Linked DNA regions of Drosophila melanogaster. The protein of the gene in region 1 interacts with the protein of each later gene in a pairwise test. Each region holds a gene or a part of one and is shown on either strand. Other genes may lie near its edges.

Region 1 (4,641 bases):
ATTATTATATCATTTGCCATTTGCAGATGCACAGACATCCTCGCCATTCGCCATTGCTAATAACTTTTCTTCGTAGAGATTTGAATCTGGACGACAACAAGACTGTCAATGTCCAGTGTCCTTTGGACAAAAGCATCGAAAAAAAGCAGGAGTGAAAGTGAAAATGAAAGTGGAAGTGAAAGTGAAAGTGAGAGGAAAGGAAAGGCCAGAAGTGAGAGACAAAGGCACTTGAAAAGTTCCGCATCATTACTCGGATGTTTTGTGGTGATTGGCTTATGTATTGGGTTGATCTCTGGCCACGCCCCCAATGCAAACAAAAACTTCAACAAGGATTGAGATTGAGATTCCGGGCAGAAATGACAGTTTGGACCGCTCAGATCCAGACACTTGAAGTGACGACGTGTTGTGTTTGCCCAAACGAACGAACTTTTCCAACTAAAACAAAAGGAGGAAAACTACGTACGTATGTATCTAACATTTCAATTTAAGTTCGCCGAGAGTTTCTTTCGCTGCTGTTTCTGCCCTTGATTAACTACAAACAGCGTGTGCCCGTGGATTCGCCTTCATTTCGAACTAATTAGTTGCAATTGTTTGCCGCCTTACTTTCAGTTCGTTTCGACTGTGACGCGCACACATGGCGTATGCGCATTATAAAAATTTATGACTCATAGAAATTAAACGACTGTCATTCGTATGTATTAGCCGGGCGAAATTAGTTTGCCCTAGCAGATGCCAGACGACCCCAGAGTTTGAGGGCTATAAATGGTTGGAAATTCGAAATGGGTGCGGTTTTCAGGGTTTTCTTGGTTTTCCGGGAAGAACAATAGCGACGAACCAAAACGCGAAAGATGCATATCAAATGGTTGCCAGCATAAATCAAAAGGTAACCCAAATACATAAATATCATGCTATAAACATGTTTATAGGGCGGACTTCTGGGGAGTTGAATAGAAACCTTATCTAAGCGATTTCGCCTGTTCATTTGTATATTTCTTCCTTTTTGAGCGCTGCTAAATAATGTATAAACTTGGCCTTTAATTGAACTTTTCGCAGATAAGCAGTCAATAAATCGAGAATGTAAAATGTATTTGCTTTTACGCGGCTTTTCGCTATTTATTTTTTTTTCGTTGTGTTTCGTTTTTGTAAGATTTGCCAACGAAAATTTGGCAAGGTGCTGATATTGTTTAATTCGTAGGCACCTTAAATCAATCCATTCAACAGAATAACATTTTCGAGATCACACCCATATGTTTCATGAATATGTTTACATAGTTTTTGTTTAATGCTGTCGCGTCGGTTAATTGTAAACAAACTTACTCAATGGACTGACTAGATGAACGGATCGTGTCCAGGAGCACGCCCCATTTAAATATATATATATATAGTACGCCAAAATATAGACAATTTTAGCGATTAGGTGCGAAGGAAGACTATATTTTCCAAGAGCTGCAAATTTGTTTTGCCTCACAAGTTTTCACGATCGTGAGGCCATGCTAATGGCACCTTAAAGCCACGTTAACGTATCCAGCTGCCAAAAGCAAATAAATGGCTACCACAAGCGATGCACTTTGGGATTTCGCCTGCATTTTTATTTCCCACCCAGTCATTTTTGTGCATTCTCAAGTGCTCCTGTCCATGGCTTTAGCTTGTTTTGGGGTTTTTTCCCTGGTTTTTCATTAGCTTGGGAGTTTCCGTCTTGTGGAAACTCAGTGTGCAGCATGAAAAGGGTGTTGTCCAAATCCCCGAATAAAACATGAGCTCAAGATTCTGATTACGACTGTAACCTTTATGTCTGCTCCTCCTAAATTGAAATGAAAAACACGCAGAATTTATAGTGCATGGAAAGAAACTATTCAATTTATTCGCAAAAGAGTTTTGTAGTAAGCGGACATTAATTTTACAATATGCTCCATTATATTAAAATATCCATAGGAATTAAAATATTTTCAAATTGAGAGAAGGCAAATTATTAAAAATATAATATTATCGAATAAGAAATACTTTATTTCAGGAAAATATTTATCTAAATATAAAGCCATTTTTTCTGTGTAATGGATGATGACGAATTGAATGAAAAAGAAGTGCATCGGTTTTATCAATAAAAACTAAATTAAAATGGAGGCAGGAACGTGGGAGTAGTTATTAGGAATTATTCATTGAAATTGCGTAACTCAACATTTGTATTCAATCAACAGGAAATCTATGCTCGAGCAAGGGCAGAAATCGCATTTAAATGGAAATTTCTATAGTCTGTTTCGAGCATCGGTTTTGAAAATATCCAACCCATATATAGGATTTATGGGGCCGCACAAGCCGTAACAATCCAACGGAAAACGGAAGCAAAATAAACAGCACAAAAGCGTAACGGAAACAGAAACAGAACCCCAGGAAAAAGGGGCCCGTTTTTGCCGATTTGGATGTATGTAAATGCATATAAGCTTTTGCACCCACACACAATTTACGATTGCAGCTGCAGTTTCGGAGGAGTCAAGGAGCAGAAACCCGTACTATTTCACGGACCCTTTACGGATTCAAATGTCGATAGGCGGACAGGGAATTTATGGAGCTCTCATCAATTTCTCCGGATAATAAAGCCGCCATATGCACTCTCGAATGTCAGCTGTCGAAAAGCCAGGAAAAGGGCGATTACGCGAGATTAACCGATCAATTTTTAATTTGCCATTTCCGAGACCGCAGATACACACATCTCCATCAATCTGCAGTTATTATTTATTATGCTTACATTTGCGTTAAAGTGTTTTCCGTGTTACTCGTGTTTTCAAGCGATTCCGGGCGTCGCATCTCATTTAGGATGCCACTTAAACAGGATGTGGATGGGCAGAGCACATGCCACGCACACACCGCACACTTGGGCCAAATTTTGTTTACACCGCCAAGACACAACACAACACACAAGAATTCAAATGAATGAATTTATTGAATTCTTTTTAGCGGGCCGCAAAAGCACTTGAGACTCTATCGCCGGATATTGGCATCAACGCTGCCAAATCGCCGAGTACATCCGAAAAATTGAGTTTTTGAACTTGAACTGTCCGTCGGCGCGGAGGAGAGAACGCATGCGACTTGTTGGCGCGCGCGAAAACGTTTGGCTTGGTTTTGCTTTGGCCTTTCCTTGGCTGCCTGGCTGCATGTTGGCCGGACCAATTGATCCGGAGATTGGTTGGGGCGCCAGAATGGGAACCCCACTCTGTTTGGCTAAGAAATGCCGGCACTTTTGCACGCAAGCGCAGCAACATGTTGCTGGCAACTTCAAATGTTGCAGGTCACCAATGCAACATCTATGTAAGCATTGATCACTGATTATCTTTTTAACATTATTTTGAATAGTTACTTAAATGGCCACTATTTCATTTTGATGATATATTTGCTATGTAATTTAATGGATTTATTTTAAATGTACCGCCCAACCGGTTACTTGATATCGATATATCTCGAGAAGTGCCGGCATTTCGTTATCGATGAGTACGCGCTCGCATTCAGTCAAAACAGTGACTCCCTTAGAGATGGGATAGATTTCGGTAACTGTTGGTCCGCCACATAAAAAAACAAATGTTCTGTTACATTTAAAAAAATGTTTAAAACGCTCTCCTTACGAATATTAGTAGAGAGTAATCATTTCTCAACATGACAGTTATTATTAATACATAAATCAAACGCCCCGCCCCGTGACTTTGAGCAATATATATCGCCAACGAAAACACATGCAACCATCGCCCATCTCTAGTCTCTCTTTTTGATGTCTTGTGCATTCGACATCGTTTAGTTTTGCTGTAAAATAGTAAGTTTATTGTGAAATATCAAACGCCAGGTGGTAGTAAACACTTAAAAAGCAAGGCAGTGAACCGATTTCTGCCAGGGCTTCGAATGAAACAACCAAATGTCATGCGGAAATATTTGGCATACGTTTTTGCAAAACGCCATGTTGGCCGCTCAAACATAACCTCAACAAAGCAAAATCTTATGTGGCCCGAAACTAATAAATTGTGATTCCAGGCGCAGACAAACGGCCGCGTAGAAAGTCAACAAAGATGTCGCGTTTCTTTGCCAACGGGTCCGAATCGGAGTCCGAGTCCAGCGAGGAGGAGATCCAAGCGACCAACTTCAACAAAGCCAGCGCCTTCGTAAGTGCCGCCCAGATGTGAAACTCATCCATTACTAATCTATTCCTTTCCGTGGAAAACAGCAATTCAGCGACGATGAGGAGGAGGTCAAGCGCGTGGTCCGCTCCACGAAGGAGAAGCGTTACGAGAACCTCACCAGCATCATCAAAACCATTCGCAACCACAAGAAAATCAAGGATATTCCCAATACCCTGAGCAGCTTCGAGGATCTGACGCGCGCCTACCAGAAGGCACTGCCGGTCATCTCAAAGGAGGAGAACGGCATTACGCCGCGATTTTACATTCGCTGCCTGGCCGAGCTGGAGGACTTCATCAACGAGGTGTGGGAGGATCGCGAGGGCAGGAAAAACCTTTCCAAGAACAACTCCAAGTCGCTGGGCACTTTGCGCCAGAAGGTACGCAAGTACATCAAGGACTTCGAGGACGATCTGTCGCGTTTCCGTGAAGCACCCGACCAGGAGAGCGAGGCCGAGGACGAGGTGGTTGCCCTGGAGAGCGA
Region 2 (5,127 bases), on another chromosome or scaffold:
GTTCACTTTTCGCCACACAACCCACTCCGCATTTTGACCATGTGAGTGTTTACGTCAAGAGGTGAACAACTGACTGCCATTTTTTAACCATGATTGAAGAGTTAAACGCTGTGGCACTTTGAGCGGGCTCGGTTAACTTTTTGGCAAATGACTTCGGCAGCGTTAACCGTTGGAATACCAGCTCAGAATGGAGGTTACATGCTGTTTTTGGTGTCAAGGTGGGACCTTGCGGACTCAGATGGCAGCTTTAAGGAAGAAGATCTTGAAAGATCTGTTATTTAGGGTTTGGAAAGTGGCATCCAAAAAAGTTAATGGATTTTTAAAAGATTTGGATGTTCTAGCCATCATTCTAACGAAACTGTGGCTTTTAAAGTGTAAAGTTTGAATTGTTTATTGTTATAAATTAATAAGATCCATGGAGCATTGGGTGTTGTTTAGAAGTGATTAATTTTTCATTTATATCTGCACTTACCATATATTTTTAGATTCCCTCTCGATAAAACAATGAAATACTTTTGACAATGCCTTGTCTCCTGGCTTAGTTTTATTGAATGACAAACCCTTTAATTCGTTGCTTCAAGAGGTGTTTATTCTCTCATGGTATTTAACTTACACCGTATACAAGCCAACCCAACCACATAGGAAAAGACCGATTAAACTTTATCAGAGAACGTTATTTACTTAAGCATATTAATGTGTGTTTGCACAAGCCGACGGATGCAGAGCAAAATTCATAAGGCACAAGCGGTGGCTCGATCTCAAGTGTGTCCGAAAATAATGAAGTCTGAATGGGAGCTAATTGAATGAATCATTAATAATATAAACACAGACCGCATCCGGACTGGCGAATTGCCGAAAAAGCGAGACGAGAGGAGAAAGTGAGGGTTCCAGTCTTGTTGCGTGGGAATGGAAATCAGACGTTGAGGGCTTATTACGACAAGGAGGGCACTGGGATGACGGTCTGGAAGAGATGCAGTCGCGCATCGGCGTGTCCCAGCTTATTGGTGGCATTGCAGTAGTAGTCCCCAAAGTCCTCCTCGCCCACGCTATCGATGCGCAGCACAGAGGTTGTGGTTCCCGAGGAGGAGGCGGTGTTGGCCACCTCGTGGTGCCGGCTAGACTGCAGGGGCACGCCATTCTTGTGCCAAACTACAGTCGGAGCCGGGTAGCCCTGCACGGAGCACTCCAGCTCCGCGGAATGGGACACCATTTGGGCGATCTTGGGCCTCTGGACGGCAATCTGCGGACGGAACTCCACTTCGACCCGGATCAACCTCTTGTCCGGCTGGCCCTCTCCGTTCTGCGCGATGCAGTAGTAGCCGCCGCGATCCATCCGGTGCACGGAACGAATCCGGAGAGTTGGTTCGGCCAGCAAATGGCCACCGGCAGGCATCACTGCATTATGCTCGCGGGCCCAGGAGATCGTAGGCTTGGGAAAGCCATTGGCATGGCAGGTCAGCTCCAGATTCTGTCCCTCTGTCACCAGGGTGCTCTTGGGGGTGTTCTCCGCAATCACCGGCGGGGTCTTGATCTGCAGGCTCAGCTTCTTGGTCACCTTCTCCGTGGCCGAAACAAGCACCTGACACTCGTACGGACCCATGTCACTGACTTCGATGTTCTGAATGCGGAAGGTGTAAATGGCACTTCCGGTCTTGGGTCCTTCGGTGACCGTTACGTTGTACCGCTGGTCGGGCAGACTGAGGATATTCCGCATGGAGAGCACCACCGAGTTGGTGTCCGACTCGCTGGGACGCTTGGCCCAGCTCACCGAGAGCTGTCCCACCTCCTCCACGGTGCAGTTGAACTCCACAGAGTCGCCCACACTGGCCACCACGTCCTTGCTGATCTGGCTGATCACTGGGGCACTAAGCACCGAATCCAAGCTGATCGCAAGGCAGAATATAAGACCGATTAGAAGCCGCAGACGCGCCATGTCTGGTCTGTAAGAAATCAAAATAGATTTGAGATTTATTAGTGTATCACTTTATGTTGAGTCTTTTGATCGCGTTAGCCATTCTAAATATTTCGTATGTAATGGAGAACTGCCATTTTTAACCCATCTTCGAATTCAATATAATAAACTAAAACTAGGTTCAATTATAGAATAATAATTTAAAGGTCACAAGTATATCTTTAAAAGTATCTTTCAAAAGTAAATAAGAAGGAAAGAATTCTGCACACACACTCGTTTTGAAACATTTATAAGGCTTGTACACACTTTTCAGCTTTATCGTCTTATTTTAATATAATTCATACATTTCTGTTTATTTACAGGATGTTGCTGTTGATTTTGTGACTCTTTTTCCTCGACTATCTCTCAGTTCAATGTGGGTTCAATGCGCTTCACTTCGCGTTCGGGACTCGACTGAATTGAAAGAGGCGACCGAGCTCGGCTCAAAAATCCGTATCTCTGCTGAGGTTCTGAGAATCGGGTTCTTATTTTTGTATTCTTCCTGACGCGCCGACGTCGATGGCTCGGTTTCTCAAGGAAAGTCCCGAAATTTGTACACCGCGAGAATGAAGCAGATAGACACCATTATGATTGATTACCGCGGCTGTGTCTAGACAACGTTGCTTCTTAATGGATACACTGGTAAAAACGGAGATAACTTAGTTTTCCGATATATCAATACTTATTTTTTTTTTTAATGAATAGCCAGGTAAACGAAATCAATTTGATTTAAAATTAATTTTTTTGTAGTTAAGGATGTGAAAAAAGATTTTAAATGGCAGTGTTTAGTAAATAGTTTAAAATTTAGTAAAAAAAATAGTTTACCTTTTATTATATTGCATATTTTTTAATAATTAGTAACAGCTTTTTTCAGTGTATTTGCCGATGAAGAAGTCATCGACGTTTTGGATCTTATCACCCCTCGGTTATGTACATTGTCGCCTTCACAGTATTTGTATCTGTGTTTGTTCAGTATCTCTATCTGTATTTTGTATCTGTGTTTGCATTTTAGTTCGTATTTAAATTGTTTACTTGTGCGTGAGTTTGACTTCGGGCTCAGTTATCAATGCACTTTCCTTCTGGTCTTTAATTGATTTGTTTTGCTGCTCGCTGCTGTTGTTTATGCCTCTGCCTGTGGCCCTCCTGCCCCGCCCACTTGACAGCCCCCGCCCCAAGATAAGCGGTCAGTTGCAAAAACAAAGCGCCAGCGAAAGCGGCCGCAGGCGAACTGAGAGACCGCGTGCGAAATTCAAATTCAAATTCGTGCCGCCATTTGGCCATAAACGTTTCGGGGTTCGTGGAAGGACAATAAAAGGAGCAGCGGCGGGGTGGGAAAGTTGGAACTCTACCCATTTGTGTGATTTATGGCATGGCGCACTACTTTCCGCTGGCGGCTAACAACAACAGCAACGATTACGAGCGGTCCCTGGAATATCCTAGCCGCTCTGGAAATGCCAGCGATCCCAGCGCCGTCTCATTAGTGCTGTCTCTTTTGCGCCGGAGCAGGGGCGCATGCGCGAAAAGGCAAAAACAACGGGGTGGTGTACAAGGCATTGGGTGGAACTTGAATCGAGTCCTGGTTCAGCCATGCTGGGAAATTCTGAAGGATATTTAAAGAGCAGTATTCGGGAAATTTGGGTACCTTTAACTTGGCTGTTCGTAGAAATTTCTTTACACGGCTGAAGGTTAATATGTGTACTCACAGCATACGAGGATAGGAAACGTCGAAATATAACATAGTCTATATTGATTATATTTGTGTATATATATTGATGTGTTTAATATGTGTCTGGATCTCGATCAATTAGTTCCTATGGCAGATGATTTAAGGATTAAATGTGGTCAAAGGCCGTTTGATGTGCAAAATTTCACTTGTTGTATAAGCACCGAACCATTCGAAAACTTTCTGCTGCCCAAACGCATTTAATTTTCATATTTCCAGCCTGATTCCTGATCAGCCCCGGGCCAAGTTTCCCCCTAAAACCCATCGAGGTTAACCCGGCTTTACTCTGCGAGATGATTGATGACGACGCTGTCTGTCTGGCGAAGAAATTCCCCCGAAGAGCGACGAAACTATGGCCACAGTTTCTGGAAAATTAAATCACATCTTAAATCGTTTCGGTGACTTCTGCTGAAATGAGGCCGTTCCCATGGGAGGACAACTGCATCTGTCGTCCGAACTTGGACCCCCGCACTCTCACTCGTACTGCCCATCTGCCGGAATCCTCGTCGCTGAGTGCACATTCGAATCAGATAATTGTAAATTGTGTAAAATAATAAATTTCCAGTTAACTATCAACGGACCGCATAGGGCGCTTCTATTCCGTCCCTTTCTCGCTGCCCACTGACGGCTCTCCTTGTCCTCAGCTGCATCCCGGCAGCGTCATTATGACCATTGCGGCGATGCCTCTTGGATGCAGGTTCAGGTCCTGGTCCAGGTCCTGGCAGGTCCGGCTGCTTCATGCAACGCTCGACTTGGCCCGACCGAACTGGACACACACCGAAACCGAACGAAAGAGACGGCTAGACGGCGTGCGACAGAGAGGGCTGCCGCTCGCATTCAGGCGCAAGCGGATCCAAAACAGAAAATGTCAAATTTTGTAATTTATTACCCGAATCCTGTTTCTGTCAGTGACTCTTTGGGTGTTTCGCTTCAGCAGCGGCACACACGGGGGCATTCAGCATTCAGGGTCGCCGAGCGGGGAAGGGAGAAGTCCTTTGTCACACACTGCGTCTGAATTTGTGGCCCAGTTCCGCACAGTGGTATCTAGCAGATACTTTTTGTAATATTTGTAAGAATGCACAGAACTTCGTTACATTCAGAGATTTCTAGTTTCTAGTCAGATGACTAAATACAATATTATGTGTCAAAGTAATTAATTTTGTTTTTGAATAAATTTCTAAAATATCAGCTTGCCTTTAACGTAAATATAGCCTTTTCTACCTATCTTTATCTGATATAAAAAAGTAGCATTTGAAATGCTGTTGTTGCAATGGTATCGAATTGGTATTAAAGCTCTGGCCCTGTTTAATTTGTATTTGTAGTCAGAGCAACCACTGTACCTTTGTGTGTATCCTTGGGCTTTGCCTATGCGAACGTATTTTGTTTGCCTTTTGGCTGCACTCCGACTCCGTCGACTGGAGTGTCTGTGAATTGACTTTTGTTGCCAGTTGGC

What was found. Proteins that work in one complex are often made in the same cells at the same time.
Region 2: the proteins of CCHa1-R (region 1) and Ama interact in a two-hybrid assay, tested with the Drosophila melanogaster proteins (one large-scale study listed by BioGRID).

Annotation. Positions count from the first base shown.
Region 1 is NT_033778.4:17,662,018-17,666,658, forward strand, and holds the start of CCHa1-R (CCHamide-1 receptor), read right to left. Parts: upstream 3,052-4,641; 5' UTR 2,744-3,051; intron 1-2,743. Other genes in the region: eIF3c (eukaryotic translation initiation factor 3 subunit c), read left to right, coding at 4,050-4,142, 4,205-4,641. UniProt on the Drosophila melanogaster protein: Receptor for the neuropeptide CCHamide-1. Plays a role in the modulation of starvation-induced olfactory behavior where starved flies show increased responsiveness to food odorants, repellants and pheromones.
Region 2 is NT_033777.3:6,760,646-6,765,772, reverse strand, and holds Ama (amalgam), read right to left. Parts: upstream 3,181-5,127; 5' UTR 2,794-3,180; coding exon 2,777-2,793; intron 2,594-2,776; exon of another isoform or gene 2,257-2,593; intron 1,941-2,256; coding exon 932-1,940; 3' UTR 512-931; downstream 1-511.